7 linked regions of the Tribolium castaneum genome follow. The main gene of each other region encodes a partner of the protein of the gene in region 7 in a complex. Links are inferred from orthologs where the notes say so. Each region holds a gene or a part of one and is shown on either strand. Other genes may lie near its edges.

Region 1 (4,890 bases), on a different chromosome or scaffold from region 7:
TCTATTGGTAAAAAACGTTGTAAACTAGTGTAATTAATGCAGTGAAATCCCCCTTAACGGACAACTCCTATAAGCGGACTTCTGTGACAGACGGACAATTTTGTTGACCCCGTTTTGAGCTAATTTACTTTAAATGGAATTGCTTTTCTTTTAAGCGGACGCTCCAATAAACGGACGCAGACAATGCAAATCAGATCCTTGAACACAAAATCTCGCCTTCAAGCAGACAGCATGTTAATTATGACAATTCGTCAGAAAAAAAAGAATACATGTTTTATTCAATAGTAAACTGATTTAGATTCTGGCCTCAGAAGAGGTTTTAAAGTTATGTGTATTATTTATTGTGGCTTAGTGCCAACAAAATTGTCCGTTTGTGAGAGAGTTCCGCTTATAGGTGTCCGTTAAGAGAGATTTCACTGTGTATTTATGCCCAGTAGGGCATGTAAATAATCAATCACCTTGTCGTTATTTTTGTTCTCAATGCCGTATATTTCCTGCAGGAGGTAGCAAAGACCGTCAACGAATAATTTCTGTTTGAGAGCTTTTAAAACATAAGTACCGTCGGACAATTTTTCGGCTGTGGCGATAGTTGTGTGTGATTGTCTCATTTCTGGAACAATCAATTCAAAAATTAAATTCAAAAACGGGTCAAACCAACCCTCAGCGCCTTCCTCCGCCACACAGTGAATGGCAATTGGAATAATCTCCCGGTCAACATCATACAACAACTCCTCTTCTGTGTACTTCGAGGGATCAAAAACGTGAGTCATTTGGCAAAACTGTTGGTTCGCACCGCGTTTGTAATGAAAAGTCTCGGAGGTCGTGTTAGGGTCACGCGGCAAGTACCTTCAAACCCCATAAAATTGCAAACCCATGACAAAAACCCAACTTACGTGACTCCACTTGGTGTAAACTCCTCGGTACAAAAATAGTAGATTGTTATTGCACACCTGACGTCACAATCGAACGTGAACTCGATATTAAACGTCGAGCTCTTGCCCAGCTCAATATCCCTGATGTCCCGCTCGTTCTTTTCCGCCGGTTTGGAATAATCAGCAGGGGCGCGGACAAACCGCAGCGACTCTTTCCGGATGTTCACCAGACTTTTGAGCGTTTTTGTGGGCTCATTAGGCTGGGGCGGGGGGTAGGGAAACTAGAAACGGCACTGTGGGGGCGAAACAACCGCATAATGGCTACTTACAGGGGTTGGTCTACTGCCCAGGAAATTCAAATCGGAGTTCTCGCCGAAGAGGTAAGACTCGGGCTGGGGGGTGTCGAAGCGCTCGCCCCCCATTATAAAGTGGCTCCCGAAGTAGTTCCCTTCAGAAAAACGCCTTCAAGGTAATTGGTACGGAAAAAAGCAAAGCGACATACCAGACCTGGGCGGGTACTTGTACGCGTGGTTTGACACCACGTCCACTTCCTCGACCCCTGCGTGTTGTCTGCTAGCCAACGAACCCATTCTGCGGGCTTGAAATTGCCAAGTTTTTCCAAAATCAGAAATTATTGTTGTTTTTAGTTTGACATTATTATTGACACTTGTGACATTTGAGGCGTCGTCGCCAACACCAGGGACACAAAATCCCTGAGTGAATGTGTCAGAAAATTCATGTGGGAAAGAAAATTCAATGAAAATTCAGGAAATGCCTTGCTATGATGGAATCTGACGAGCACAACCAGGAGTCAGAGAGGAATGTCACGGTGGAAAATTTGAATATCGAGATCTTGCCCATTATCTACGAAATAATACGCAGGTTTGTTGATAAAATTAGTGACAGGCAAAATCGTAATGTCTTGCATAATCATTCAGTGTTGAGAAAGACCACCACGATAACACCGCCAAGGCACGAGAGTCGCAAGACTGTTCCCAGAAGGTGCTCGAGTTGCAAAAACGTTTGGACCAAGCCAGAGCCGAGGTAACTTTCTTCCACCCTAATCACTTCATACCCATAGTAGGGGATACGAATTAGGATCATACTGTACTATCTTCTGGTTACCGGATGAAAATATCTTTTTATCAGAGATAATATCCAAAGTCCAAAGGATTGTATCGCGAATAGGTTTCCTAAAAAAAATGTTCCAGGCCATGGTAAAGGGGGCTAAAAAGCGTCGAATTTTAGCCTTTTTTCAGTATTTTACAACTGAAGGCTACAGGGGAAAAACAACCTCAGTCCACTTGTTTGAGAAAATGAGGTGGGGTTGTAATATTGTAGTTTTTGAGAAAACAATCAGATAATTGAAGCGGGAAATAGCAAATACGACTTCAGTATTGAGCAAAATATGTTACAAATTACACTATAATGAAAAAAGTTATGGTTCCACGTTAGAAAACTTTAAGGATATAATTATTTTTTAGCTCACTGCAATCAAGAAAATAAAAAAAGTTAAGAGGCTTGTTAAAATTTGAATAACTTTAAACTTAAATGAAATACCGTATTTTTTATTTTTGCATCTAAAAGACCTTTAAATTGTCTATTAAAGAACATTAACAGTTAAGTGCTGATTACTCAAAAGATTATACTTAACTTAAAACATTAAAAAAAGTCATTAAAAATTATTCACAATTGTTTCAATAGTCGAAGAGTAAAATTTTCAGCTAATAATAACTTTATTATTTTTCAGTTATTTTTCACAGTAAAATAACTAAAATTTTCTTATCTATGGCGAATTTTTAAATCCCTGTTTAAACTCCAACAAATGATCCGTGGTGAAGTTGCTAAGGTTATGGTAACAGTAATCCTCATGAATAATCTGCATTGTTGATGAAATTAAATTTTAAAGTCAAATATTTGTTTAATTATAAAGGTTAGGCATTTGAAACTTTGTTTTTAAGTAGACAATTTAATAATCTTTGAAAAATAAAAACAAAAACTTTTATTATGTTATTCAACTTTTAACAAACTTCATAATTTTTCTACGTTCCTAATTGCATGCGTTAACCAATTTAACTTTGAACATTCTTAAAAAAATAAGTTTGTATTGTAGCTAATTTCGGAAATATCCTATACAGGATGATTCAAAAATGTTCGACAAACACTCGTATGGTGATAAAAGACGTTCAGTTAAGCACAAAAATGAAGTCAGATTTTTTTATATATTTTTAAGTTTGTATTCCTTAGCAACGGTATCGATTGTTTCTCTTTTGTTTCCTAATATGTTGAATTTAAGATATTGTCGAATTTACAAGTTTTTTTATTGTTTTGCACATAATTAGACATTATTTGTTAATTTTTTTCAACAGGTATTTGTTTAATGTTGCAAGAGATGTCGTTTCTGCTAATTAAGGTCAAAAAAATATGGTCCGAAGCATCAAAAAATTAACTTAAAAATTTAACTTTGAAGAGCTGTAGCTATCTCGTGAAAAAAGACTCAAACAATTTTTTGTCATAGGAACTTTTAATTCAGTTTGATGTCCTTTATCAGCACCCGAGAGATTGTACGAGTACTTTTGAATTACTCTGTATATTTGAAAGTAGTTTTAGATGAGGCAGGTGATTAGTATCTACAACTTAAGGAAAAATAATAATAATAAAAACCCGTTATATGTACGAATAAACAGGTGGTTTCAAATGAACAGCAAAGTTGCTGTTCTCTGCTCTTCCACTTAAACCTTTCAAACAAGAAGAAATATACAGCAAATGAATAAAGACAAAATAAAAAAAAATTGACATAACAAACCAGTACAAAATAACCAGTAGATTCCCATGACTGTCCTTGTTCGGAAAATTATTTGTCAAATATTGCAGCCTTGAAACTATAAGAAGATTCAATTTCTAGAACTGTCGATGGATGCTATTATAATCTTTAGCTACATTAAAAAAGGGACTTTTAAAAGAGACTTGTGCGACTTACGGTAACATTATGTATGTCACGACGGAAGATTATTTCATCAGTGGGACTTGGAAGTAACTATTTTGTGATATAAATAAAGTCCAAGTTTTGTTAATTTGATTTTTATATAGCATGGTCGCCTCACGTCCACTTTCAATTATTTGATCTTTATTTTTTTAAGTTTTCATTTTTTCTTGTTAATTTTCAATACTTTACACAATCATGCAAAATTCGATTGTCTAATTTCAACACTTTTAAATTTGTGTTTGTTAAATAATATTACATTGTTGAAAATGAACCTAGAATGATTCAAAGTGAAAAAACTTGAAAAACTTTATTTATACTCCTTCCTCAAAAGCCCAAGTATGTTGGAATTTCCTGATGCCATAGGCAAACCGGAGACAAGAATTCTGAACCAATTACTTTTCTAACAATTAAAGATAAATAATGGACTTTACCTACTCGCATTTTTGATAAAATAAGCTTCATCCGTTAAACAGATGAGTGCAGAACGACCGTAATTCGAATCTTAGACTACCAACCCCTTGCAGATCCGGCTATTGCCCGGGATTGAGTACAGCAAAGAGCAGCAACTGGACCACTTGGAGGCCCTCAAGACGCAGCTGAAACTCAAGCAAGAGCTCCTGCGCAAATACCGCTACATGTACTCGTTTGAAGTCCCCAAATAACAGCATGGTGTTTCGCCTCCTGATCCGCTTGCTTGCAAACAACGAACAGTTGGTGCAAAGACTGAGCGAATCGTACCCTATGCGCAAAGCGGCGCAGGTCGTAGTGCGAGCTGTCTACCACGGCAAGAATCTCATCGAGGAGCGGGGTCTTGACAAGCGGCTATCGCCCGAGGAGTTCCGCGCTTTGATGAAGCGAATCGCCCAGAATTTGCAAGGACAGATCAAGCAAGCCAGTGACGAGTTCAAACACAAAATGAAATAGACGCCATGGCGACCGTGATTTTCGTCGGCTCCCCGGAGAAAAGTCCGAAAAGTTGCGCCCAAAAATTCAAGTCGTTGTTCCTCGTGCCGCCACACGATGTGATTTTTC
Region 2 (4,884 bases), on a different chromosome or scaffold from region 7:
CAACTGTCACTCTTCACAATTGTTTTTTTCTTTTAATTAGTAGTAGTCTTGACACTAAATTTCACTAGAATCACACAAAAACACAGAAATTTTCACTTTGTGACTTATTTGATCTGACCTGACCTGGCCTATTTGATCTCAAAAAATATAAGTGCGCTGTTTCCAATTTTTCTATAGTTTTGAGACAGTTAATTACAAAGACAAAAATTCGTTTTAGATTCAAAAGATTTAATAACACTTATATAATTGCAAAAAATTTTTTAAATTTTTTGTTTTATTTTATCAAATATTTTCTTCAAGATTTTATGACAAATTTCCCACCATAATCCTTTTATAGCATATTTTAAAGTCCAAAAATCCGGTCTCTAATAATAACATTGTGGTGAGAATGGTAAGCTACCGTTATTTAAATACTATTTTGTTGTTTTTTTTTGGCGAAGCTTCTCTGTCTTTAAAGCGTTTAATTTTATTCTGTTTTTTTTTAAGAAAAACAAGATTAATAATGATACCAATGTTTTCTAAATACACTTAATTAATTTCTGGAAATGTTTATTGAAGAAGAATATAAATTTTGTTATAAAATTCAATAAAACTATTCGTAAAACTAAAAGGATGAATTTTTATAACTCATTAAACTAATGTATTTACGTGATTTCTGGCAATTTTGAGTTATTTAGTTTATGCTTGTATTACAAAGCAACTTGTTAAAAAAAATAACTACTACAATTTTTTTTCTTTTAATTTTATTACACTAAATCTGCCACTAGCTGTTTCAAAACTATAAAAACAACAACGACGCACTTTACCAAATATTTTTTAAATAAGGTTGATAAAATTGTAAAATAGTTATTAATGATTAGATATCTCATTGAAAGTATAAATTACATTAGTTATTATTTTCTTCAACTGCATGAATAATTTATAACAGCACACATCACAGCAAATTTTGTGAGAAAATGTGACGTTGACGTTTTTATAGTTTTGAAACAGCAAATACAATGGTATAAAGGGGACCAAGGTTCTTCTTTAATATCAGACGATACCTAAGGTGACGGGGGCTATTATTAATTTATTACAGAAATAAAATGTAAAACACCCTTCGTGTAAATTATTTTTTGTTGCATTTGGTTTTTGAAAGCTTTTCATTTTATCTGAATCACATGGAGTAAAATAAAGTAGTCAATCTTGCTTGATTTCTTCTAAAACTCCCTCATATCATGTTTTAACGGTTTGGAAACATTTTTTGTAAAAAACATCTATCTAAGAAATTTTGAAATACAGTAAACTAAGCAATTTTATGTGATTTTTGTTGAATGCCTACAAAATAATAAAAAAAAACATTATGTGGTATAAACTAACGCACAACGTATTTGATTTCTTTATAAAAAAAAAAACGAGAATAAACTATTCAAAATTTTGGAAATGTGCCTATGGTGTACTATTATCTTAGTTGTGATGTGTTAGCGGGCATTTGCTCCAGTTCTGGGGGAAGATGAGGAGATTATCGTGTCAGCAACTTCTTGCGATCTAAAAAGTTGAAAAGTTGTAGCGAATTACGGCTTTAATTGTCATTGACGGATCTAATACGAAATTCGTTGGTAAAAAACGCGGATTAATTCCGGGAGTTTGTTTTACGACCACATTTCATTAAAATATTTGCGTTGCAATAAGCACAACATATGTGCCACCAATTCAAAGCACTCCAAAGTATCAAATCTTGATAAAGTTGAGAGTTGGTAAACACAAATGAATGGAAAAGCACTTGAATATTTTTATTGTTATTGTTATTATCAGACACGAGTTTGAATTGGGCGCCGGTGGCGTAGCCAAATATCCCTAAATTGGGGAAAGTAACGAAACTGTCAAGTTTTTGTTTGGTGCTGATGTATGTTCGAAAAATCGGTTTTTTTCCCTTAATTCGCCCCAAATAGAAAATGTTTACGAACATTTAACGTTAATTTCGCCCGAACTCATCATGAATCGCGTAACAAACGGTGGGTTGCGCGCCCCAGCCAAGAGTTTGACTTTTGACATTTACAACTTTGTTTACTTTTAAGGCAATTTAGCGATGCCACCGTCCGTTGTGGACAAATCCAAAGACTGGCAGTTGGAGATATTGATGGAGAAGCTGCGCTCGAAGGCGTCGCAGTACAAAAGCTTGACAGAGATATCCAAAAATGTGCGAATGGCCATGCTTGTAGGTTATGTCATGTCTGGCACTGCCTCCATTGATGCCCTACTTTCAGGACAAGCGCTACGCGTTGGACAGCGTCGAGAAGAGCCAGCACCAGAAATGCCTCGACACTCTGCAGCACTCCATCAAAGTGACGTCCTTGCAGAGCATGATCGAGCGGCTGGAGAGCTTGACGCGGCAGCTGGGGCTCAAGTTCATGGTGGGCCCCTCGGGGGTGGAGCTCTTCATCTCCTCCGACATGTTCTACCTGGAGATAGTGCTCGACCAGACGGGGGCCGTCAAAGACGTGAAAGTGCACCATGACAGTAAATTGGAGCAACAGAGTTGCGCTGAGCTCGTCAATTGTTTATCTAGTGGCGATTTTGCCGATTTCACTGCCCAGTTGGAAGGTTTTGCCTCGATTTACCAGCTCAATGCTGAGAAAAAGGTCAAGTGTAAGGCGTTCACAGCCTTGCAGTCGCTGGAGTCTGATTTGAGCACCTTGGCTCACTTGCAGTCTTTCATGAAGGAACCTTTCAACCTGCTGTATAAGTCTCCGGTTGGGGTGCTGGAGAAGCGCCGAGGGGGACACCCCATGAAACTCACCTATTTTGTCTCTCCTTATGATTTATTAAATGTTGAGAAATGTGATATTGAACCTATTACTGTTGATACGATCGTTAGTAAAGCGCTGGGGTACAGTGTGACGGTGTGTATGGAAGGGTCCGCTACACATAAGTTGCAAACGACCACTCTCATCACAGTTAATAGGAATATTAACGGGAAAAGGTAAAAATTATTAAAAAAAATTTTTTTTTCTTTGAGGGAAATTTATTTTAGTACGCCGTCTTTTTCATCGCTAAGTAGCCAAAATAGTGCAGCAATTCCGGCCTGTTTTGTCCTCAAATTAAACAAACCAATGCCAATGTGTGTCAATTTAGTTAGACAAATTCAACAAGTTACTGAATTGGATACTATAGAACAATCAGCAACTCATCCGTTACTTAGTTTAATAGTACATCACGCCAGTGAAGGGAAAATGGAGTCTGGGAACAATAAGGGCCTTTTTGTGGTAAGTGGTTGGCAATAATATTTATAAAAAAATGGTCATGTTGACTACTGATTCTCCTAGTTTGCGGTACAAACTTTTCGAGAGCCAAAAAATGGTAAATAATCAAAAATAATCTACTTAATGAAGTTCCTCTGACATTAAAAAATTCTAAAATCAGCAATTTTAAACATAAATACAAAATGTTTCTTACAAAATGATTTTTCTTATGTGTTTTTTTGCTCTATAATTTTGTTAAATAGAATTAGATATTTTATTATTATTATATTTTTTATTTTTTTCTTCAATCAAATTGTTTATTTTTTTGTTATTTCTCATTTATTGTCTGGGTCAAAACCTTGATCAGCTTTGCTGTCTTTTGGTCCACTTTGTGGTAGGAACAACTCGTAGAAAATTTTAATTTTGTTATCGTATTTTTTTTCTTGTTGTAATTAATTATATTGTAACTGTTTTACTGCCACAAATAAATTATTATTATTATATTATTATTAAAAAAACAATTAATTTCACGTCAAAAAATAGTTAATTAACCACCTCAATTCTTGATATATAAGCAGCCATTTCATTTTAACGGACGGGACACTATAGATTTTTTACCAATTTTTATCACCAGTATCAGTAGAAGTGAATTTTTCTTTATAGGAACTTAGTACCAGTCAAACAATTTGCAACCTACAATAGTCGGAGCCACATTTGTAAAATTTGAAATATGAGCAGGAAAAAGAATACAAATTGGTGACGGACGGGACACAAAAAAGACCTTACATTTTTATCGCTAAACAATCTTTATAAAATTCTGTTAATTTAAAAGGCACTAATTCTAAGAATTACTTTATAAATAAATGGTAGATTTTGTTGAAACTTTTGAAACCACGATTAATTTACTTTTTGTTTACACATGGCGGATGGGACAAAAAAATCTTGTGTATGAAAATAACTCTAAAAAAATTATTTAGGCAGGTTTTAATTATTAAAGATTTTAACAATATCAAAATTAGACTGGAAATTAGAAACTTATGTCCTGTAATTGTTTTTTTTAATTAATAATTTGAATATTTAATAATATATAAATTAATGCTTAGTCAAGGCATCCCTAATAATTTCTTCGAACCTTCTCCCAAATACAACGCATTCTTTTTCTGGAGTTTGAGGGGGTTTCAAATTTGAAAAAAATCTCAAAAAATTCACACGTTATTCACAACCTATCCTCAGCCTCTCTACTAAAATTTAATTAATTTTAAAAATCTTAAAAATAAATTAGTTTTAGATTCACAAGTTTTAATAATAACACTAAATCTAAATGTGAAAAAAATATGATTTTTTTGTTTTTATTTTTTTTTATCAAATCTTTTCTTTTAAGATTAAGGACCAGTTTCGCATTATAATCCCTTTTTAGCACATTTTAAAATTCTAAAATCCACTCTCTGAAAATAACATCGTGTTTTTTTTAACTAGTTTAACTAACTTTGTTTTTTTAACTAAGTTACTAATAATACCTTATTTTTTTAATATAACTAATTCTGTCAATGAAATGAATATACGTAAATTAATTTAATTTACGTAATTGATTGATGCTTAAGCAAGGTATTTTTTACAGTTTCTCTGAAATTACCCCTAAAAGCATTCATCTTGGGCTCAGGAA
Region 3 (3,447 bases), on a different chromosome or scaffold from region 7:
TTTTACTAATCAAATTTAAAAAATAAATTAATTAACTACTTAACGATAAATTAACTAAACGTCAACAACATGATTATAAAAAAGTCAAAAAGTCAATTTCATTCGGATCAGTGGTTTTTTTTTTTTGGCTTGCATAAGGTCTACTAAGGGCACTGAGGCAAGTTTAGCATTCGGAGATATTACCTCCTCGAGCTTTGATAACTGCCTCCGTTTTACGCGACCTGCTGTAATTTTAATAATTTGACATTTAATTAGCTAGCCATGTTTTTAACCAAATGTTTTAAAAAAAGTGAAAGTTACTTGAGAATTCTATTATCTTATATCATCAATTTCAGTTCTATTTTCAATCTCTTAACACTCAAAATCTTGCAATTTAAGTGATGCGATAATTTTGTGGTGAGTCTAGTTTCGTGTTAATATCTTGGAACCACAAAATATTATACACAACATAGAACAATTTAATAATGTTTTAATATTTTAAAGAATAAATCGCTTGTTGAAAAAAGTGTAAGGAACAAAGTTGTAGAGAATTAAATTTCCTATAAAACAGTTTGCGACAACATATTTCCATTTTCAACGGTGTAGGTACAATGTGTTTTTAAATGATTCTTGGTGTACGTGTAATAGAAAATTTTATTCTCCATAAATTTCTTCGTAGGATTTTTCTTGTGTTCTTGATTTGTCCATTTGTTTTTAAATTAATTTAAAACGACTTGGCGCCGAGACAGTATAATGCTCAAAGCGCCCTCATTTTTACATTTTGGGTACGATTTTGTATCTCGTTTCGTTTCCTAAGCGACAGTCTTCCATAACCCGAAAAAATGATTTTTACAGCCGAATTGCTACGCCAAAGTCATCACAATCGAGTCGCAAAAGAAAATAGTGATCTACTCGAAACAGAGCATAGGTGTGAACGAGGAAATTACTTACGATTACAAATTCCCGATCGAGGACGAGAAAATCCCGTGTCTGTGTGGCGCGGCCACGTGTCGAGGAACACTTAATTAAAGGGAAACAAGACAGACTTTAAACCGAGTTAGTTACTATATAAAATTTAAATTATCTTTTTTATTTGTATATATGTTTCTGTAAATAGTACATGGTTATTTGTGTTTGTTTTTCATCACAACCGCAAATAAAATTCATTAACAGCTCACTTAACTATCCTTACTCCCCGCTTTTGTCAAATGCTGCATGTCCAGCTGTGATTGGGCGATGTCGCTCAACGCCGCCTGGATTTGCTCCAAGAGATCCTGACCTTTACGAACTATAGCCTCGAGACGCTCAGCAGACTCTTGATTGTCTGATTCCAAAATTCGCAAGCTTTGCAACTGAAACAGTGTTTAGTCCGCGGTCGGACCAAGTCATTGTAGATAGGTACCTGTAATTCGGTTGAATTTTCCTCGCTCGGGAGCGATTCAATCAAAGTATCTATGTCTTTGGCACAGCGCGCAATCAACGTTGTGAATAACTGGACGTAGTCTTCTTGGTTCTGTTGCTGGGGGGTTTGGGAGCCACTCCTGTCGAAGTTTGGGAATTTGCTAGGAGGGGCGAACTGTTGCAAAATCCCAATGCTGTTGCAGAAATGCTCGGCTTGCTGCGACAACACGAATGCAATTAGTGGTACAGTCTTAGGGGGAATTACCTGATTTATGCAATCCTGGAGCTGGGTCAAACGATCGGCCATTGAGGTTATGTTACCCAATCACCGACAAGTGATAAGACCCGAAATCACATAAAAACCAACACTGATGATAATTTGTTATCTCCCGAGGTTTAATATGCGACAAAATATATTAATTCGTACGAAATAACTAGAATAATACTAGAAGGTGAATGACATCTTGCAAAAACAAACACACATGATTGCCAACCCAAATCTGGTTGGGTAAAGTCTGCGTAAATTAATCCCACCGGGCCGAAGTTACATTTTAGTTATCACGCCTGATTTCAAATATAGTAGAACGGTTTTATTTACAAATTAATTGGTTTTATTTAATCAAATAATAACGCAAAACCGGGGAGTAATAGCCAACCCACGAGTTGAAAGTCCCCAAGTCAGTTTTTGACAGATGTCAAATTATTATTATTATTAATGAAAAATAGCAATTACAGGCCTGTTCAGCGCTTTAGAAATGTCCGGGGCCAAGCCGTGGGAGCGACCATGGTCCATGGACGAAATAATCCAAAATTCGGACAATTGGAATTTAGCCGGAGATGTGGCCCTTTTGAACACTCTCAAGGCTTTTGCAGACGTATTTCGCATTTTTGGCCCACATTGAACCGTTTCAGCGTTCAATTTTTAGAATCTCCTGACTCGAACAACCGAAATCAACAATAACTTGCAAAATTTGACAAGCTCCCTGTCTGAGACAAGTCTCCAGTTGAATATAGCCCAAAACGAGTTTCAAAGTTTGCGAAACAGCCAGTTTATTGAAAGTCGGGTTTATGAGGACGATGAGACTTTGGAGGAGCCGGTTGAGGCGAAAGCCGAGGAGAAAGAGGTTGATAAGACTGAGGAAATCAGGTTGGCGGCTTTGAAGGGTTTGGAGGTCTTGGAGACGTATTTTGAGAAGGTTGAGGTGTCGGTCAGTGACAGTGAAGACGACGATATCGACTTGCCCAAGTAATTTTTTTCTAAATAATTTACAAAAACTAGTTTGTCTTTTCCAGTTTTGTCCTCAGACCCAAAGACTTGTACCTGGAGCGCCCCCTTCCGTACGTAATCGGCTCAGAAGAGTGGCAAAAGACGTGGCACGTGGGCCTGGAGGACTCGTCCAGCGATAGCGAAACTGAGAAAGTCTCAGATAATTTCAGTGAAAGCGACTCAGAATCAGAGTTGCCAATTATTCCCGACAGAACACAGGTACTTTACACATGTTTTTCCACTGGTTGAGTTGCACTTGATCCATTCATTATCATAATTTTATTGGTCTATTAACCGGCCAACCGAATTTTTTGTTTAGTCGCGATCCAGTCGCCATGGGCAATATCTGGTTCTTTTTCCAGATCAAGGGCACCTCTGATACCAGTTCTGAGGACTTGCGAACTGAACCGAAAAATTTCGTCAATTCGAGTGATAGTGAAAACTCAGTTCCGGTGCAACCAACTACCAACTTTGCCGAAGAGTTGGCGGCGAAATTGGGGAACGTGATTGATCAAGAGTACGTCAATCGACGGCCAATCCAGAAAACGCCACAATACGGTAATTGTTTTTGGAAGCGGACCGCAGACTAAACGCTAATTCCAGATAACCTATTTTTCGATGAACCGCCGCCTTTGGACGAACCTAAGGGGTTGTTTTCAGGGGGTAAGGGCTTGTTTGATGACGATGATGAAGCCACGCCCCCAACCCCCAAACCCGAATTGAGACAACCCCCAAAACAGGACTTGTTCGATAGCGATGATGATGATATTTTTACGAAAAAAACCACCTCTTATTTACAA
Region 4 (3,941 bases), on a different chromosome or scaffold from region 7:
CTCCTGACTAGGAACTATTTTCTTTTAAACATTACTTACTGTACTTAATACTCGTGCATAGCATTCGTTCAGGTCAATAATTACCAAAAGACAATAATATATTTATAGGAATCCTAAATTAGCTCATTAGAGGTACCACGCTGGTTTTACGCGGGACCCAAGCTTCACTAAATTATTTTAATATTTTGTAAATACACGCCTTTAGCTACAAAATGTACTTTAGTGCGCAAATACATGTAATAATTAATTGACAGTTCGGAAAATGTGGTACTGTATATATCTGTAAAGTTAAGTGTATAAGAAACCCGATTATTTATAAGTACGTAATGACAGTCTGCTGTACTGAGCCCTACCAGCTCACTCTCATTACGTTTCCAGTCCTTTGAAAACGTGCTCTAGGCGAATCAAATGAGAGTATTTTTCTTGATATTTGAGTAAATTAGGTAACAAGAGAAATTCCGTTTGTTGCAAAGGTACTATTATTTTTGGAAAGTTGAGACACTTTGTGCTGTTCTACAATAAGTGCATCGCCACTACCTTAACACATGGTAATAATGGGAGTAGAGCTGTTAAAAAAGAATCAGTTATTGTCGATATTCATTAAAGCGTTGTTTAATCAAAGTGCATTGTTAAGCTCAAGCACCACCAGTTGATCAAGCCTTGGAAATGAGTCGCCTGTATGTTATTGATTTATTGATACCCATATCGCGTAATAATGACAATAAATAACTCGTTTGTTAAAGTATTTCGAAAAATTGATTACAGTTGGAAACTTATCATTATCGATACTGTGATACGATAATGTCATTGTTAAGAATATCGATAATATTCGGTGACTTTCTCTCGTTTTTCAGCCCTAGCTCTGCTGTAATAACGCGGTTTAATTTTCAAATTATCACACTACGACCCTGTGATAAAAAACTCACATATCCGATAAAAATTTAAATCAAAAAACCTACTTGTAAATTTGTACCTATCATAAAGACGCAATCAAAACAACAAACTTGTTTTTATAGAAAGTGAGTGTTGTTTAGAAATTTCAGAAAATGAGAAACTGCTTCATTTTTGTGATTATCATTTCATCAAACAATAAATTTGAATCACTTCAGCTTGTAGGGAATAATTAAATAATAGACGTTGGTATTACAATGAAATGTGTTTTATTTTCCTTCCATTATAAACAAACATAAGAAAACAATATTCGTCAGACGCAAACAAAGATCTTATCTAAACTGTCACGAAGAGTTGATTGATGAGATAAGCAGACAAGACTTTTTCCCCAAATAGCCGCCTCAATCTATTGATTTATCATTTTATTTCCCCTCATGGTATACTCTCCACACAAACTCGCTTAATTTTTTTATATAAATATGATGAATCAAGTCCAGGGAAAAAACACAAAACTACTGAGAATCGCTTGAGGAACTGCTGCTGGAGTCCGTGGACATGACCTCCACATCCTCGGTCTCCTGTTTATGGTTCCGCGTGTCCATCGGGACACTCCCTTGCCCCACACTCATGTGAATCTCCCCCGAGGGATGCCATGCAAATTGATTTTGTTGCGCGGCGGGTATTTCCCCCGGGTGCCCCTGTCTATGTAAATCTGACAAACTGTTCTGCTGTTGCAACAAATGCCCGTTAATTGGATCGCTCATCAGCCGCCCCAGCAGCCCCAACCGCATCTCAATATCGGTGGGGTACGGCCGGCGCGGGTCCCCCTGTTGCCACGTCAAGGGGGCACATATCGCATTAGACGCGCTAATCCTGTGCGCAAATTTGATAAGTTCCTCGGACGAGACCGGCCGTTTATTTGCGCGGGAAATGGACTGGAGTTTCTGGTTGGCTTGATAAATCGCAGTGGCCAGGATTTGCTCGGCCTCTTTGAGCTGTTTTTGCAAGTTGTTAATGTCGTTGTCCTGACGCTCCACTTCGGCCTTCAAGATGTCCATTTTTTTGTCGATTTGCGCCTGTTCAGCGGCCAGTTTAAGGGTTTCAGTCAGTTCGGTGTTTTTGGCCACCAAAAGCTCGGTCAGTTGAGCGTATTCAGGGCCGGAAAGCTTGAGGTGCTTGGGGGCGATTGAATTCTCGATTATTTCTCTAAAAAACGCAAATAAAACCATACGAAATGACCCGAAAGGGGGACGTACTTGGAGATTAACTCAATATCGTCGAGGATGTAAAGGAGTTTTTCCTTCGTGCTCATTTGAGACGACATAATGATGGGGAAAAACACTCACGGGTTTAAATATTAAACGAAATAATCAATTGAACAGTTTTTATTTCGAACACAACCTCAAATACACAAATGTCAAAATAACGCGCACACTGCGATGCCATCTGCCCAGAGAATAACTAAATCGTAAGAGCGGGAATTTTAATCGAAAAAATTACTTTATTGAAAGAAACCTAAGCTAAATTAAAATATATACACAAAATTCAATTCTCTTCACTCTTGACTTGAACCGCCGGCTCTTCCTGCTTCACATCGTCATCCTGTGTCTCATCTTTACTATTCTCATGCAATAAAACGTACTCCCTTGAGCTGAACCCAAACTTGATCACGTCTTTCTCCAACAACTCCACATATTTACTCGGCTCTATCTTCTTATTATTGATAAAAGTCCCATTAGCCGAGTTCAAATCAATCAAATACGGCCTTATTCTCTTCCCTGAAAAAAACAATGAAAAACCCAACACACTACCAGCTGTCCCACAAACCAGTGGTGCCATCCTCACGCGTGAAAGGGACTAGGCGATACTGCAAAGCTGCGTGTTGTTTTGAGCACGAAGGGTGATCTACAGGGAGATCAACAACTTTGCGATCGCGCCCAATCAAGTAGGCGCTTTCGCGATGTATGTATAAAGTCTGAAGGGCCTTTTCGCCCTTAAAAGGGTACAACCGCCACCGACGTTTCGGCTTGCAAGCCTCAGGCGGCTCGCTATATTTTATAACAACGCCACGATAAGTGTTAGTTTCTTCGGTAAGTTTTCCCGAAAGACCGAAATTCGGTTTTTGCTTTTCCTTCTGGTCTTTTTCCTTCTTGTCGGATTTTTTGTCGTCCGACTCGCGGCCCCAACGGGCGTTCGAGTGGTCAAAGGAGGCGCTTCTGCTACGCCGCCTTGGATGGTTCTCTCTGTTTCGCTCCCGGTTGTGGTAATTTTTGTTATCGTCCCGTCGGTTCCTGTAATCCCGTTCCCTGTCTCTGTAATCAGGACGCCGGTTTCTGAACCTGTTATCGTGAGAACGGTGGTCATTGGGGCGGTTTCTCCTGTCGTCATGCCGCCCCCGATCGTCCCGGACCCTCTTATCGTCCCTCTCCCGCCTGTCCCGATTTTCAGGCACAGGACTCCGCTTGCGTTTCCTTTAAACACAACTAGTATTTTCCCTTAAAACCACCAACAATCATACCTGTCGGTTTCTTCCTCATTTGTTGGCTTTTTGTCCCTCTTTTTTGCCTGTTTATTCGCCTCGTCACTTGCCACAGGCGGAGTTTCGTGTTTTTTATGCGAGTTTGCCTTCGTTTTGGTTTTCTTCGGCGATTCTTCAGTCTCAGGTTTCGATTCGGTTTTCTTGCTTTTACGTTTCGGGCGCCGTTCGGGTGATGAATCGGAGCTTTCGCTGCTTGAATCTGATGAACTGGAGCTGCTGGAAACGCGCTTCTTCTTCTTTGAGCCCATTTTTTGTTTGTTTGGGCGAAGTAACTTTAAGGTTATAAGAAACGCTACGTCTCGCAATTGACAGGTGTGCCAATACAACCGGCGAAAAAAAATATTGTGGGAAAAAATTAATTAAATTTGCATTATTATGTTCCGATTATAGTTCTGACGAAGACTAATTGTTAAATAATCTTAAAAACTGGCGTTTTTTCTCGAAAACTGATCGCTGATGCTGACAATTGACCCAACCTCAACTTTTGACATTGACAGGTCCCGCACATGTC
Region 5 (3,557 bases), on a different chromosome or scaffold from region 7:
TTATGTGGGTTGACAAATGTACTTCCAAAAATTATTCGATAAAAAAATCGAGTTCTAATTTTACTTTTATCAAGGAAAACCCCAGTGCTTTAAATGCGGACAATCACGTCATCCTTGACATTCCTTATCCTATTTTTAACAGTTCTGCGAATCGAGTTGCCGCATCACTTCCACTCATTTGTTTATTCTAACCTCAATAAATCGTAAAAAAATCAATAAAATCATGCTTACCTTCAATGACATATCTGGCGAAAGAATCATCACAAAAATGCACTACACAAACATTCATTCATTTTTTTGCGTGATTTCAACAAGAAAATGTGCTCAGTGAAAAAACCAACTGTCTACGAACAAATAATGGTTGGTTATGACTACGAATGAATCATGGTGCCTTTGATTAGATAAAATAATTTTATTTAAACATTTGTACAAAATAAATTAATAGTCGTAATCGTCATCCCTGTCCAAAATCCCATAATCATCACCCCCATAATCGTAATCGTCAACCCCCGGAGGCACAAAAGCCCCATTTAAGGCCACTGCGATTTGTTCGCCAAAACCCAATCGCGTAGCCACCCCATATACAAGCCTCATAATCGCCAGTCTGCAAACTTCCATAAAAATCCTGTATGATACAATATTTTTTTACCTGAGAAAATTAATCGCATTCGTTTCTTTTTGCCGCAAAATCAAACCTTTGGTATTTTTCTTGCGTATTTTCGCATCACTAGCACACAAAATTATCACAATAACGACAAAAATTATTTTGAAAAAATTCATTTTAATTGTTGGACGCATCGAAACGAAATGATTGATTTGATTGTTAATAGAACCATGTCAACAATTATTAATAAACAAATCGTGTAAGCCAAGTACACTTTTGGTGTATGAAAGTCGAGCGGATTTCGTGTACAGTTAAGTCCAATTGGGTCGAGAAACGGAACTTGTATTTGAATTTGGCGGGGCGGGTTCAGGGACTTTTGGTTTTGAGGTTTGTTACAAATTTTGCATTTTTTACGATTTTTAAGGAAAAACAAGGAACTTACCTTAATTACAGCGACAGCCAATCAATTGTGATTTGGATGGAAATGGGTGGGATTTTGGTGCAATTGGTGGGATCTTGGTGATTTATGTAACTAAACAAAAAAATAATTTATTTCACTTAACCACCAAAAAATCACATTTGTACCCTACCTAGCTGATTTTATTGCTCAAATGTCCGTTACTTTGGCTATTCTGGTTAATACTTTGTTCACCTGTCCCGTTAACATTCGAAGGGGTTAACAAACGACTCCTCCGCCTGGTGTAGTGTTGCCACAATAAAAGTTGTTGATCGTCGATAAATTTCGAACACTGAGCATTCACCAATTCCCTCCGGAAGTGTTCATATTGCAACAAATCCAAAAAATACAAACACATTGGATATTTCAAATATTTGGCGTATTCGGGCTCCTTCCAATAAAGCAAATACTTCAAATAGTTAACAAACGTACTATCCTTAAAATAACCACGCTGTGCGAGAACTAAAACGCAAAAAATTGTATTTTTTCCCTCCCGAAAAAGTGAGGTTACGTCATTACAGTTGAGATAATTAGGATTTCCGAGACACTGCACAAACTCTAGCTCAATCTGGAAGCGGAGTCTTTGCTGATCGTCGGTTTCCGGAGCCCCTGACATATAATTCCAGCCTAAAACTTGTTTATTACCTAAATTTAATTAAAGGACGCTTACCTTTCCCAGCCATGTTTGTTGTGCATAAAATGGCGCGTGATTCGAATTCGAATTTTTTTAATTAATCAATTAGGATAAATGCAAGTTCGTGTTGTAAGAGCGTGCACTTAAAATGTCACAAGTAACAACAATAGAAAAGCGACCATTAGAGGCTTGGCAAATTCCCTTGTTCTTCTATTGAAAGTATTATTCTTGCGTAATTCAATTCTCAATAATAAGAAATCGGATCGAAACGGTACATGTTGTAAGAAGCGTGTGGAAAAATCAATCGCTGGTGAAAGTAGCCCAGTTATTTAATTGAGCGGGAAATTGACCACCAATAAGAAAATAACTGACTAACATAATGATCCCCAACACGAGGAATTTTCATGGAAATTCCCATGGTGGTGGTATATGGTAATGGTATTTGTATGAAAACAGGTGGATGGGTTGCGGCTTTGTCTACAAAACATTGCTGCTTTGTGTGTGAACAATTTTATTGTTTTGTTGCTGCCTTTCAGTAAGTCGAGATTTTTTCTTTTCACTTTTGCGGGATCAATAAAAAATTTAAAGTGAGGACTTTAATCGCGTTTTTTTTGGCTCATTTATTGTAATTTTGAATTATCTTATCATTAATTATTTCATTAATTAATTTAACAATTTTCTAATTATTTAATCAGCTATTTAACGCCTGATTAGCGTTTTTAGTCTCAAATATGTTTAAAAATCATAATTTCTTTTTAATTTACTGTAATTACGGTTTAATTATTATCAGTTATTATTACTATTAAATCCTTTTTAAGTAAAGAATTAATTAAAAAAATGCTTTTCGATTTTTACAATTTTTAATTAAATTAAAGTTTCTTGGTAATCATAATTAAAATAAAAAACAAAGTCACCCTTTTATATGATTTTGCTTCATTTTTCGATCATTTGTTTTATAAAAAATTTGATGCAATAATTAATTCACTGTTTAATTTAGTAAATATCAGTAATTTATCATTGCTAATTTTAATGGAAACACATTACTTATTATTTTATTAATGTATTAATGAGAATTGACGAAATTCATAAAAAGTTCACTGCATTATTTTGAAATTTTTTTCTATTTGTTAAAGCAATTGTGCAAAAACTCGTGTATTGTTACGCGGCTACTTATCACAAGTGCTGTGTCCACAATCAAATATTTGCCGAAATCGTGTTTGACATTTCCTTGTACGCCACTGTCCTATTACCTAACTTTTTCACCAGTGGCGTGCACGTTACACAACACGCAAATAAATCAATTCTTAATCGTTTTTGAGGTTTCTCAACAATGAGCAATAAATCAGCGGTTGCGGAATTCTACAAAAACCGACACATCCTCATCACGGGCGCCACTGGTTTTATGGGGAAAGTACTAATCGAGAAATTACTACGCTCATGTCCTCAATTATCAACAATTTATTTGTTAGTTCGTCCAAAAAAAGGGAAAAAACCTAACGAAAGACTTGAAGATATCATCAATTGTCCTGTACGTATGTCTATCACTTGTCAAAATTTAAATCACACGCCTTTTTGGCTAGGTCTTCGATAAGTTGCGTGACCAACCCGACGGCGAAAAATTACTAAATAAGATTTACTGCATTTCTGGGGACATTACCCAAACTAAATTAAATCTATCAAACGATGATGAGAAAACTTTAACGGATAACGTCGAATTGGTGTTTCACATGGCTGCCAACGTGCGATTTGACCAACCGTTGAAAAACGCGGTTCTATTGAATACAGGAGGGACAAAAAATTTGCTAGATCTGGCGTGCTGTTTCAAACAATTGAAAATTTTCATTCATGTGTCAACATCATAC
Region 6 (4,913 bases), on a different chromosome or scaffold from region 7:
AAAAATAATAATAAAAATGAAACCAAAAAAAATGTTTATTTGCATTAAATTTTGAGCAAGCCACTTTCATTCATTGAAATTAAAGACAAAATTATTACGTGGCAATTAATTATTTGAGTGTTTGATTATAATTTTATTTACTGTATTTAAAATGTGTCACTCAAACGCGATCACTAGTCACCGAATTGAAAATTTAAACCGGAAAATTTAGATTTGCTTGAGCACACGTCCGTTCGCGACAACGGCAAGTAACAAACTGAATAAATTGAAGGAAACCGCACAATACACAATAATTTAAATAAACCGACCCGACTCACCTCGCCTCGCCTCCTGCTTCCCGCTCGCGATCTGACCCGTGCCATTGCTCGCTGTCGACTGAAGCGCTCTCGCCGCCTGCGCCGCACACCTAACCTCGGGACACGTCACGGATGTGACGTCACTAAGTCTAAAACAGGTCATTACCAGAAATATTCACTGGAAAAATTCGTCAAATTTAAAAACATTCATACACAGAATTATTTAAAATAGAACAGCATTGATGTAAAAAAATTAATTATGACAAATGTATTTGCCTATAAACGTCTAAAATTATAAAAGTTTCGCATGCAGTCAATGGAAAAATAAAAATGCATGTTTTTATTTAAACAGAAACTGGCAATGTGAAAGTTTGGTGCGAAAATTAGTGGTATCGCAATGCGTATAACCACATTGTTTGTTTGTTTCGTTTTGTTGAAAATTCGGTAGGTTCCAAAAGTAGGGTTATGTTGTCACCCGAAAATGACAAAATTTACACTTTTATGAATTTTGTCTCCATCTCTGCCCTTTCAGAGCGTTATGATAGGATATTTAGGGTCGAAATCTCTACCTTTATTATGTGCTATTGCCAGATAAGGACAAAAGTTCAGAAAGTAGGGTTAGGGTGTATTATGATCTCTTCTGAAGTGTTAAATTTTAACTTTAATGTTTTTTGTGTGCTTTCCTGCTCTTCTAGAGCGCTATTAATTATTATTGAACATGTTTAAGGACAGACAAATCTACCTTGAGTCAACGACATAAATTTCAGTGAGATTTATTGAAAAATGCACTTCTCGTGTCAACCTTTTCATGAAAAAGGGTGTTTAAACGTTTATAAAGGGTATGTTAACGTGTGTTGTTAACTTTACCACGTAATAAAACATAAAGTATAACTTGGTAATTTTTTACTTTAACTACTTCTGGATTTTCAAGCTGAAACTTACACCAAACGATTCCTCTGAGTGCCCTGATGACCGTACACTATGAATTTTCTTGTGCAAATTGAAAATAACATTAGAAAAATAATTTTTATTTTCACTCACTTTTTACTTGAATCGCCATTTTTGTTGATTTTAATTTGAGTTTATTTTTTATAATATCACGTTAATTTTTATTATTATAGTGGATCAAAATGTCGTCTTTAGGTTAGACTATTGCCTACTATCGGTTAGGAACAACATGATCTCCAAAAATATAACGTAGTAATGAGCTCCAGAAGGTTTACGTAGATAGGTGCGTTTTTCCCAAAAGTGAGTTTTTTGAGATCGAACCGCAAGTGAGTCACACTGCGAGGAGACTCCCATAGACAGAAGTTGCAAACATAAGGTGCCAGACCGGTGCCAGTTTGGCTGATTGCAAGTATGTCTTTATCATCGATTCGGTGACGACTATTAGTTTCGTAAACTTAATGGATTTAATAAATATCTTTAACATTAAATGTGATCGTGTCATGTTGGGTAAAATTCTTCCATCTGTGCTGTCTGTGCATCCACCTTTTCAAATACAATTAAGAAATTTTCATAATAATTGTATTTGATAAGGTATTGGCATCATTTTGACGTGAGCAAAAATTAAAAAAATATAAAGTAATCGGAATTATTTTAAATTCGCGCCATTTTTAGTACGTGATGATGCGGCTAGATGGCTTCAGCTAGGAATTCATTGCCAACCATTATGTTCCGCTTCTATTAAAGTGTTATTCTAGGGCCACAGCCATTGCCGTCTCGAACTCCAGGCCGTCAGGTTACTAGCTTTTGTTTATTGTGACGTCATCGTAAGAGTCGTGACATTTGTTCGCATCGTTTGAATATATTGTACTTTTTGGTGTTTTTGAGAGTGTTATTAAGTAATTTGTTGTTGTTTACGAATTTGTTGTTTTGTGGTTGCGTTGTAGGGAATGAATTTTGTGTGTTTATAGTCTTGTGTGACGTGATTTTGACAATTATAGGTTAGGATAGTTTTGCATTATTTTTGTTTATAAATTTGGTTTTATTGTTTTTAATCGTTTAATTTGGTAATAAATAAGCAGATAAGGCATATTTCAGTCTCTAAACCTAACATACTTAATCCTATTGCATTCCTAATTTTAGAAAATGCCGAATAAGTGTTGTGTTCCCAATTGTGTGTCTAACATGAATGGTCCTTATGTACCTATGTTTTCCTTTCCCAAACAAGAATCCCTGCGATCATTATGGTCAAGAAAGATACCCCGAACTAATTGGACTGTTACCAAGAACAGTCGTGTTTATGTGAAATATTTTCGGGATGATTTTATAATAAAATATCACGAAGTGACTAGAGATGACGTAAAATTCTTCGTCATATTCTTATACTTTCGATCACACTTTTACGACTAATTTAAAACATATTTAGCGAATAATAACATGTTGCATTCCATAAGAACCTGTGTTAAAACTTGGATAAAACGGTCGTCTTTAAGTCGCGGTTATTCAAAATTTAGGCCCATAAGGAGAATTTTTGTATTAATAGACGTAACTTTAGACGTTTAAGTACGGCTAGATGGTTTAAACTATCAAAAAATATAAACTTTAATATATGTTTTTCGGGTAATAACAAACGGATAAGGTACTTTAAATCACAACGTATGTCACTATAAAAATTATAGTTGACCGTTCGTTGACCACATTTGCAGTATCAGGATTCTTTAGATACACTTTTCCGTCGTTTCTTGCATAAAACGTTGGACGCAACATAGTTAAAATTAATTTTTTGCAAAAATTCAGAAAGTTAGGTTATGATCATTTAGACTCTTACTGTGACGTCACAATGTCAACATGCAGGCCTGGAGTTCGAGACGGCAATGCCACAGCCGACATACCGTCATCGTGGTTAAGGTTATGTTTTTGTAAACAGCGCCAAAAATACAGCAAAATGCAACAACGGGAAGAAAAACAACTCGAATCGTCTCTCGATTCCATAATCCAGCGTGTCAACGACCTAAAATCATCGATAGCTTCAATGATTTACAAGGTGGAGAATGAATATGAGACCCTCAACTGGCCCACATTTTTGGACAATTACGCCCTTATGTCCGGCCAACTCACCTCCCTTTCGAAGGTTTTAAGCCACGACAAATGCCCCACCCTCAGAAATCTCACAGTACTGCCCCTCATGTTGTCCCCCGAGCGGGACGAACAATTGGCCCAAATGACCGAACACAGAGTCACAACCTTCGCCCATGATTTAGTCCCAGATTATCTTCGAACCAAACTAGAACCGTTGGCGGAGAATAAAATGATGCAATTGGAACACAAGGCGTCAACTTTATCGTATGAGAACGCACAGGTATGTTAAAATTTTTGGTAGAGTATGTTTCAACGCAAACTTTCAGAAACAAATTGCTGCGTATCAAAAGGTTGTGTCCCACGTTTGGGAACTGGTGAGTAAAGCGAGGGAGGAGTGGGAAGTTGAGTCTTCCGCCAGGGGAAGTACGCAGCAGAATTCCAGTGTGGCTGATACTCACTCGCTTGTGGCGGCTGTTGGAATGGGGAAGGGACTCAAGATGGGGGCGAACCCTAACGGTCAGCCCAATCCCACGTCGGGAGGGATGATGGTGCCTCCGCAGGGGCGCCCAGGGGGCACTCCCGGGCAAGGACAGATGCCCCCCAGCACGCAAACCATGACGATGAATAAGGCGCCCTCTGCTATTAAGACTAACATCAAAAGTGCCACCCAAATACATCCATATGGACGCTAGTGAAATAGTTTTTAATGTGTACGGAGATATATTTATTTATTAAGATATAATCTTACAAAAATAACTAAATATAACAGTGGAAACAAAGATTAACACTTTGTAGCGTAATGAGTAGATTATAAAAAGCATTAATTTTATAGACTTTGAAACTATACTATCAACAAATGGTTGAAGTGTGGCTGGTCGGAACGGGTGGCTTTTCCAATAAGTACAGCGGAACTTGAACATTTTCACGATGTATGTTAGCACATGCTACGCATTATATAAAATATAAAACATATAACATTTAGAATACTTGGGACCCAGTCAAACAAAAATTAACAACTTAAAAAAATATTTTCTACAACGTAACGCGGGTGACTGGACCCTGTTTACGTATAATACGCATTTAAAAAAATATAACAAACAACAAATAAAATACTCTTGTGCATAAATTGCAACTATTCTATGGTCATATATTTTCCTTACATGGCAAGAGAATTTTCCTAAGTTTTTGTTCCCTATATACAAAGTGGTACAATAAAAGAATTCAACTCTTTATACTCTCTAATTTGTTAATATACTTTTGTTTCTTAAAATACTGACCAACAATTCATAATTATATACAATCTAGGTTCTCTCAATTTTAAAACCAACCTCCAATTGTAATAATTTCTTTCATATTGCACAATTAAATCACCGACAAAACACAACAGTTGAATAAAACGGTTACTTATAAAATAATGTATAAAAGACGTTCCGAAAGGCACCTCCAGTTGCGTCATAATTTAAAGAAACAACAGACGTCAGTCAGTACTTCAACGCAATGGGACTCAACGAAAACAAACAGAGTATTACGTGGGTATGAGATTGTCTATGCGACTACAGCTGCCAATTAATCGGGGGGTAAGTAGCTGAAGAG
Region 7 (3,427 bases):
CATCCTGATGAATGCAGCGACCGGCTTGAGATTCTCGATTCGGGCCAGTTGGTCCAAACCACGTGCAAGCCCCAAGACCCCCCGCTGGAGGTGGTGTCAGAGAGCGAGTTCGTGGAGGTGGTGCTGGTCTCGGCCCATTCGCTAGTGCCCCTCAGAGGCGTGCTTATACACTACACTGCCGTGGGGTGTCCCACCCCCGACGCCCCTGAAGACGGCTACCTGGTCTATAGGAACGAAACAGCTGCAGAATACAGGTGCTGCATCAATCGGGCCTTTGAAGACGACGGACAAAAAACCAAAATCATCAACTGCGAGGGGGCCAAGTGGGACGTCGACCTCCCTCTGCCCAACTGTACTAGTAAGTTTGATTAGACGCTAAATGGAATTGACCTCCGACCCCGCTTTTTAATTTTTAATGAGATAAAGTGTTGTGTGCGAACAAAGATAACGCCGAAACTCCACATTTCGTGCTTTGTGCGAGTTTGCTAGTTTGGATAAAACAAAGATAAACTGAACGTAAGCCCTACAAAACAATTTCGCATTCGATGAAACTCCCAAACAAAATCTAATTATATTATGGAGTCTACGCCTCTGCCTATTGACTTGTTGGTGTTTCCGTTCAACAAAACGTTCCCGTATTGCTTTATCTCTCTCGCGATGCTCAGTTGTCAACGGAAAATCGTGTAGGAACCACGTGGATTACCTAGAGGCGTTTTTCGCGATAAAAAGAATTGTAGGAGTTTGCACTAACGAGGCAAATAGTGAGTGTTTCTAGAGTTTTTTTTCATGTAATTGTATTTTTAGCGTCCAATTAGACAAAGCAGTTGAGGTTATATTGTATTGTTATAAAAAAAATCATTATGAAAAGTTTTGTTGTTATCAAATTGCGGAATTGCGCTTCAGACCACATTCATTAAGTCAGCGGCGACTCGTGAACAAGGCTAAATTTACTCATTTTTTCAGAAAAACTTCAACAAAAGCCTCTGCTAACTGTTCAAGACATCGGAAAATCGAAAAATATCGAAATGGTTTCAGGTAACGCATTTTATGATTTGTTTAGGTTGCTGTTAATTTTTTTTCAGATGTTTTAGCACCGGCCTTACTCATAGCGGCTTTATTTTTGATAAATTTTATGGTTCTATTTTACATTTATAAAATTAAGCAAAAGTAAGTTGCTAATTTAGACTAATTTTTTTTCATCCATTGATCTTGTTTTTTTTTTAGACACGCTGAAGAATTTGCTGACGAAGAATTAGGAACGTTGCCACTGTCAAGTTGTGAGAAAGCCTCGCCTTGAATTATTTATTTGTAAAAATGACACTTTTATAATAAAAGTTTTATTTAATAATCGCTATTTTATTCCACCACTTTGAAAGTTGCAGTTTGGCGCGTAAGAACACTAGGAATTTTCGTTAGCTAAGGTTTACCAAAATAAAAACGCAATTTTCAAAAAAATTTATTGTTATAAATCAAATCCAAAAATACGGTAAATATAAAACATATGTTTACATTATGATTCAAGAGATAAGGGGTCAACGACTTTGAACTTGTAGCATTTTTGACACCTAGCTAAGTTGGCACCACTGACGATCATTAAGCTATAATAACCTCAATTTAGCCCCCAAAAATCCACTTAAAATGGGGGTCACAGTGTTACAACAGTTCCCCACAGAGAACCGCACGGGGCCCTCCACCATTGAGCTCCTCTCGAAGCGAATTTCCGCCCTGGGGGCCCTGCAACAGGGCCAGTTTCTCGTCGATTGCGAAACGTTTACTTCTTGTGCCGCTTTGGGACACCAACGTACAGTCCACGTCCTTCACAATTCCGAGCAGCCGGCGACTGTTTTTTCGATCCTTGAGACAGGCCAAAAGACCATTCCTCTCGCAACTGACGGCCTTTTTGATCTCCTGATGATGAAAATGTCCGGTTTTTACTCATCAAAAAAACAGACTAAGGCCGAGTCGAAGGGGCCGCGATACGAAATCGGTGATTTTTGTGTAAAATTGGGAACAGTGACTGTAAGTCAGAACTTTCGGGGGGTTCTGGTTGAAGTAGAGTATCGACCATGTGTGGTGCCTGCGATGTGTTGGGAGTTGATGCGGGAGTTTCTGCAGGGGTTTTTGGGGTCGTCGGTGCCTGCAACGCCCCCACCGTATTTGCAAAACAGGATGCAGGAGTTGTATACCCCCATTGATACAATTCATCAGTATTTGGAGCAGTTTACGATATTTAGGAAGGCCCCCGGTTTAAGGCCCTAATTTTAAGCTAATTTATTGTAAGGTTCAAAGTTTTTGTAAAGAAAAAATTAAATAAAAACAATTTTGAGGTTATATTGTCTTTCTCTTTTACTCCCACACATTAGACTATTATGCGTCTTTGTCTAATTACATAATTTGGAAAGTTGATTGTTCACCTCTATCAGCACTTACGTAGGGCAGAATGTGATAGTGGTGATGAAGCAGTTTTTTTTCAATAAAACAGCATGAAAACATAATCATGCGTTTGCGGTAATTGTTCCTTACTTGAGAGAAAAAGCACAAAAATGAGTGAGATTGAGAAAATCCGGGTTGGATCCCGGAAAAGCGAGGTATTTATCACGTGTTTGTTATTGTGGGCTCTTTTTCATTTGACATTTTCAGCTGGCTCTCATTCAAACGCGACATGTGATTTCACTGCTCAAAAAAATTCATCCTGGGAAGGATTTTGAAATTGGTGAGGTTTCGCAAAAAATTCCCAAAATTTATTTATTTATTTCAAAAATTTATTTTTAGTAACAATGAGTACATTAGGAGATAAAGTCCTAGATATACCGTTACCAAAAATTGGTGAAAAATCTCTCTTCACCAAAGAACTTGAAGCAGCTTTAAGTACAGGCTGTGTAGATTTTGTTGTACACTCATTAAAAGATCTTCCAACCGTATTACCTCCAGGAATGGCAATTGGGGCTGTTTTGACTAGGTTTTTCTTAATTATTATTGTAATGATTATAATTAGCTTTCGTAAAATTTAGAGAGGATCCGCGGGACGCTCTAGTGTTGCAAAAAGATCATGACAAATATTTATTAGAGACTTTACCAGAGGGAAGCGTCATTGGCACCTCTAGTCTACGGAGGGGAGCACAATTGGCCCGAAAGTACCCCCATCTCAAGGTTGAAAGCATTAGAGGAAATTTAAACACTAGGTTAAAAAAATTAGATGAGTTGGGGAAATATCAAGCGATTATTTTGGCCTCTGCGGGTCTCATTAGGATGGGGTGGACTAGCAGAATAAGCAAGGTGGGTTTTATATGTTATATTAATATGTCACTTGTTATCTAACTTCATTTTTTACAATTTTGTATCAAAAATACGTATATTTTTGCCACTAATTAACTTGTTATATTGTTTTTTCCTTATCACTTTGTGTATGAGACAAGAATATGGCAAT

The links.
Region 1: MED20 (region 7) and MED9 share a complex: the UniProt entries of both Drosophila melanogaster proteins name them as parts of the mediator complex. The link is inferred for Tribolium castaneum from reciprocal best matches to the Drosophila melanogaster genes MED20 and MED9.
Region 2: MED20 (region 7) and MED1 share a complex: the UniProt entries of both Drosophila melanogaster proteins name them as parts of the mediator complex. The link is inferred for Tribolium castaneum from reciprocal best matches to the Drosophila melanogaster genes MED20 and MED1.
Region 3: MED20 (region 7) and MED21 share a complex: the UniProt entries of both Drosophila melanogaster proteins name them as parts of the mediator complex. The link is inferred for Tribolium castaneum from reciprocal best matches to the Drosophila melanogaster genes MED20 and MED21.
Region 4: MED20 (region 7) and MED4 share a complex: the UniProt entries of both Drosophila melanogaster proteins name them as parts of the mediator complex. The link is inferred for Tribolium castaneum from reciprocal best matches to the Drosophila melanogaster genes MED20 and MED4.
Region 5: MED20 (region 7) and MED31 share a complex: the UniProt entries of both Drosophila melanogaster proteins name them as parts of the mediator complex. The link is inferred for Tribolium castaneum from reciprocal best matches to the Drosophila melanogaster genes MED20 and MED31.
Region 6: MED20 (region 7) and MED8 share a complex: the UniProt entries of both Drosophila melanogaster proteins name them as parts of the mediator complex. The link is inferred for Tribolium castaneum from reciprocal best matches to the Drosophila melanogaster genes MED20 and MED8.

What each region holds. Positions count from the first base shown.
Region 1 is NC_087395.1:15,956,206-15,961,095, reverse strand, and holds the start of MED9 (mediator of RNA polymerase II transcription subunit 9), read left to right. Parts: upstream 1-1,612; 5' UTR 1,613-1,653; coding exon 1,654-1,754; intron 1,755-1,810; coding exon 1,811-1,916; intron 1,917-4,382; coding exon 4,383-4,520; 3' UTR 4,521-4,524; coding exon of another isoform or gene 4,525-4,782; 3' UTR 4,783-4,787; coding exon of another isoform or gene 4,788-4,890. Other genes in the region: Mrgn1 (E3 ubiquitin-protein ligase MGRN1), read right to left, coding at 459-610, 659-846, 894-1,153, 1,202-1,334, 1,380-1,462; protein NCBP2AS2 homolog, read left to right, coding at 4,525-4,782; protein YIPF3-like, read left to right, coding at 4,788-4,890. UniProt on the Drosophila melanogaster protein: Component of the Mediator complex, a coactivator involved in the regulated transcription of nearly all RNA polymerase II-dependent genes.
Region 2 is NC_087399.1:8,917,999-8,922,882, reverse strand, and holds the start of MED1 (mediator of RNA polymerase II transcription subunit 1), read left to right. Parts: upstream 1-1,833; 5' UTR 1,834-1,975; coding exon 1,976-1,994; intron 1,995-2,057; coding exon 2,058-2,197; intron 2,198-2,246; coding exon 2,247-2,962; intron 2,963-3,013; coding exon 3,014-3,245; intron 3,246-4,884. UniProt on the Drosophila melanogaster protein: Component of the Mediator complex, a coactivator involved in the regulated transcription of nearly all RNA polymerase II-dependent genes.
Region 3 is NC_087401.1:8,393,274-8,396,720, reverse strand, and holds MED21 (mediator of RNA polymerase II transcription subunit 21), read right to left. Parts: upstream 1,876-3,447; 5' UTR 1,688-1,875; coding exon 1,646-1,687; intron 1,598-1,645; coding exon 1,382-1,597; intron 1,332-1,381; coding exon 1,158-1,331; 3' UTR 1,049-1,157; downstream 1-1,048. Other genes in the region: Set1 (histone-lysine N-methyltransferase SETD1B), read left to right, coding at 835-1,008; FAM21 (WASH complex subunit 2A), read left to right, coding at 2,136-2,255, 2,307-2,626, 2,674-2,866, 3,010-3,205, 3,251-3,447. UniProt on the Drosophila melanogaster protein: Component of the Mediator complex, a coactivator involved in the regulated transcription of nearly all RNA polymerase II-dependent genes.
Region 4 is NC_087397.1:1,783,706-1,787,646, forward strand, and holds MED4 (mediator of RNA polymerase II transcription subunit 4), read right to left. Parts: upstream 2,338-3,941; 5' UTR 2,216-2,337; coding exon 2,148-2,215; intron 2,098-2,147; coding exon 1,404-2,097; 3' UTR 1,142-1,403; downstream 1-1,141. Other genes in the region: uncharacterized protein LOC661495, read right to left, coding at 2,437-2,669, 2,719-3,362, 3,410-3,678. UniProt on the Drosophila melanogaster protein: Component of the Mediator complex, a coactivator involved in the regulated transcription of nearly all RNA polymerase II-dependent genes.
Region 5 is NC_087401.1:17,495,203-17,498,759, reverse strand, and holds MED31 (mediator of RNA polymerase II transcription subunit 31), read right to left. Parts: upstream 2,184-3,557; 5' UTR 1,745-2,183; coding exon 1,732-1,744; intron 1,689-1,731; coding exon 1,581-1,688; intron 1,524-1,580; coding exon 1,195-1,523; 3' UTR 1,138-1,194; downstream 1-1,137. Other genes in the region: uncharacterized protein LOC103313299, read right to left, coding at 232-261; uncharacterized protein LOC656943, read left to right, coding at 3,015-3,223, 3,276-3,557. UniProt on the Drosophila melanogaster protein: Component of the Mediator complex, a coactivator involved in the regulated transcription of nearly all RNA polymerase II-dependent genes.
Region 6 is NC_087396.1:15,801,139-15,806,051, reverse strand, and holds MED8 (mediator of RNA polymerase II transcription subunit 8), read left to right. Parts: upstream 1-1,997; 5' UTR 1,998-3,081; coding exon 3,082-3,600; intron 3,601-3,646; coding exon 3,647-4,012; 3' UTR 4,013-4,105; downstream 4,106-4,913. Other genes in the region: CTD small phosphatase-like protein 2, read right to left, coding at 4,887-4,913. UniProt on the Drosophila melanogaster protein: Component of the Mediator complex, a coactivator involved in the regulated transcription of nearly all RNA polymerase II-dependent genes.
Region 7 is NC_087398.1:429,230-432,656, forward strand, and holds MED20 (mediator of RNA polymerase II transcription subunit 20), read left to right. Parts: upstream 1-1,502; 5' UTR 1,503-1,638; coding exon 1,639-2,259; 3' UTR 2,260-2,331; downstream 2,332-3,427. Other genes in the region: uncharacterized protein LOC103313212, read left to right, coding at 1-358, 964-1,035, 1,083-1,167, 1,225-1,297; Hmbs (porphobilinogen deaminase), read left to right, coding at 2,544-2,588, 2,641-2,713, 2,773-2,959, 3,012-3,276. UniProt on the Drosophila melanogaster protein: Component of the Mediator complex, a coactivator involved in the regulated transcription of nearly all RNA polymerase II-dependent genes.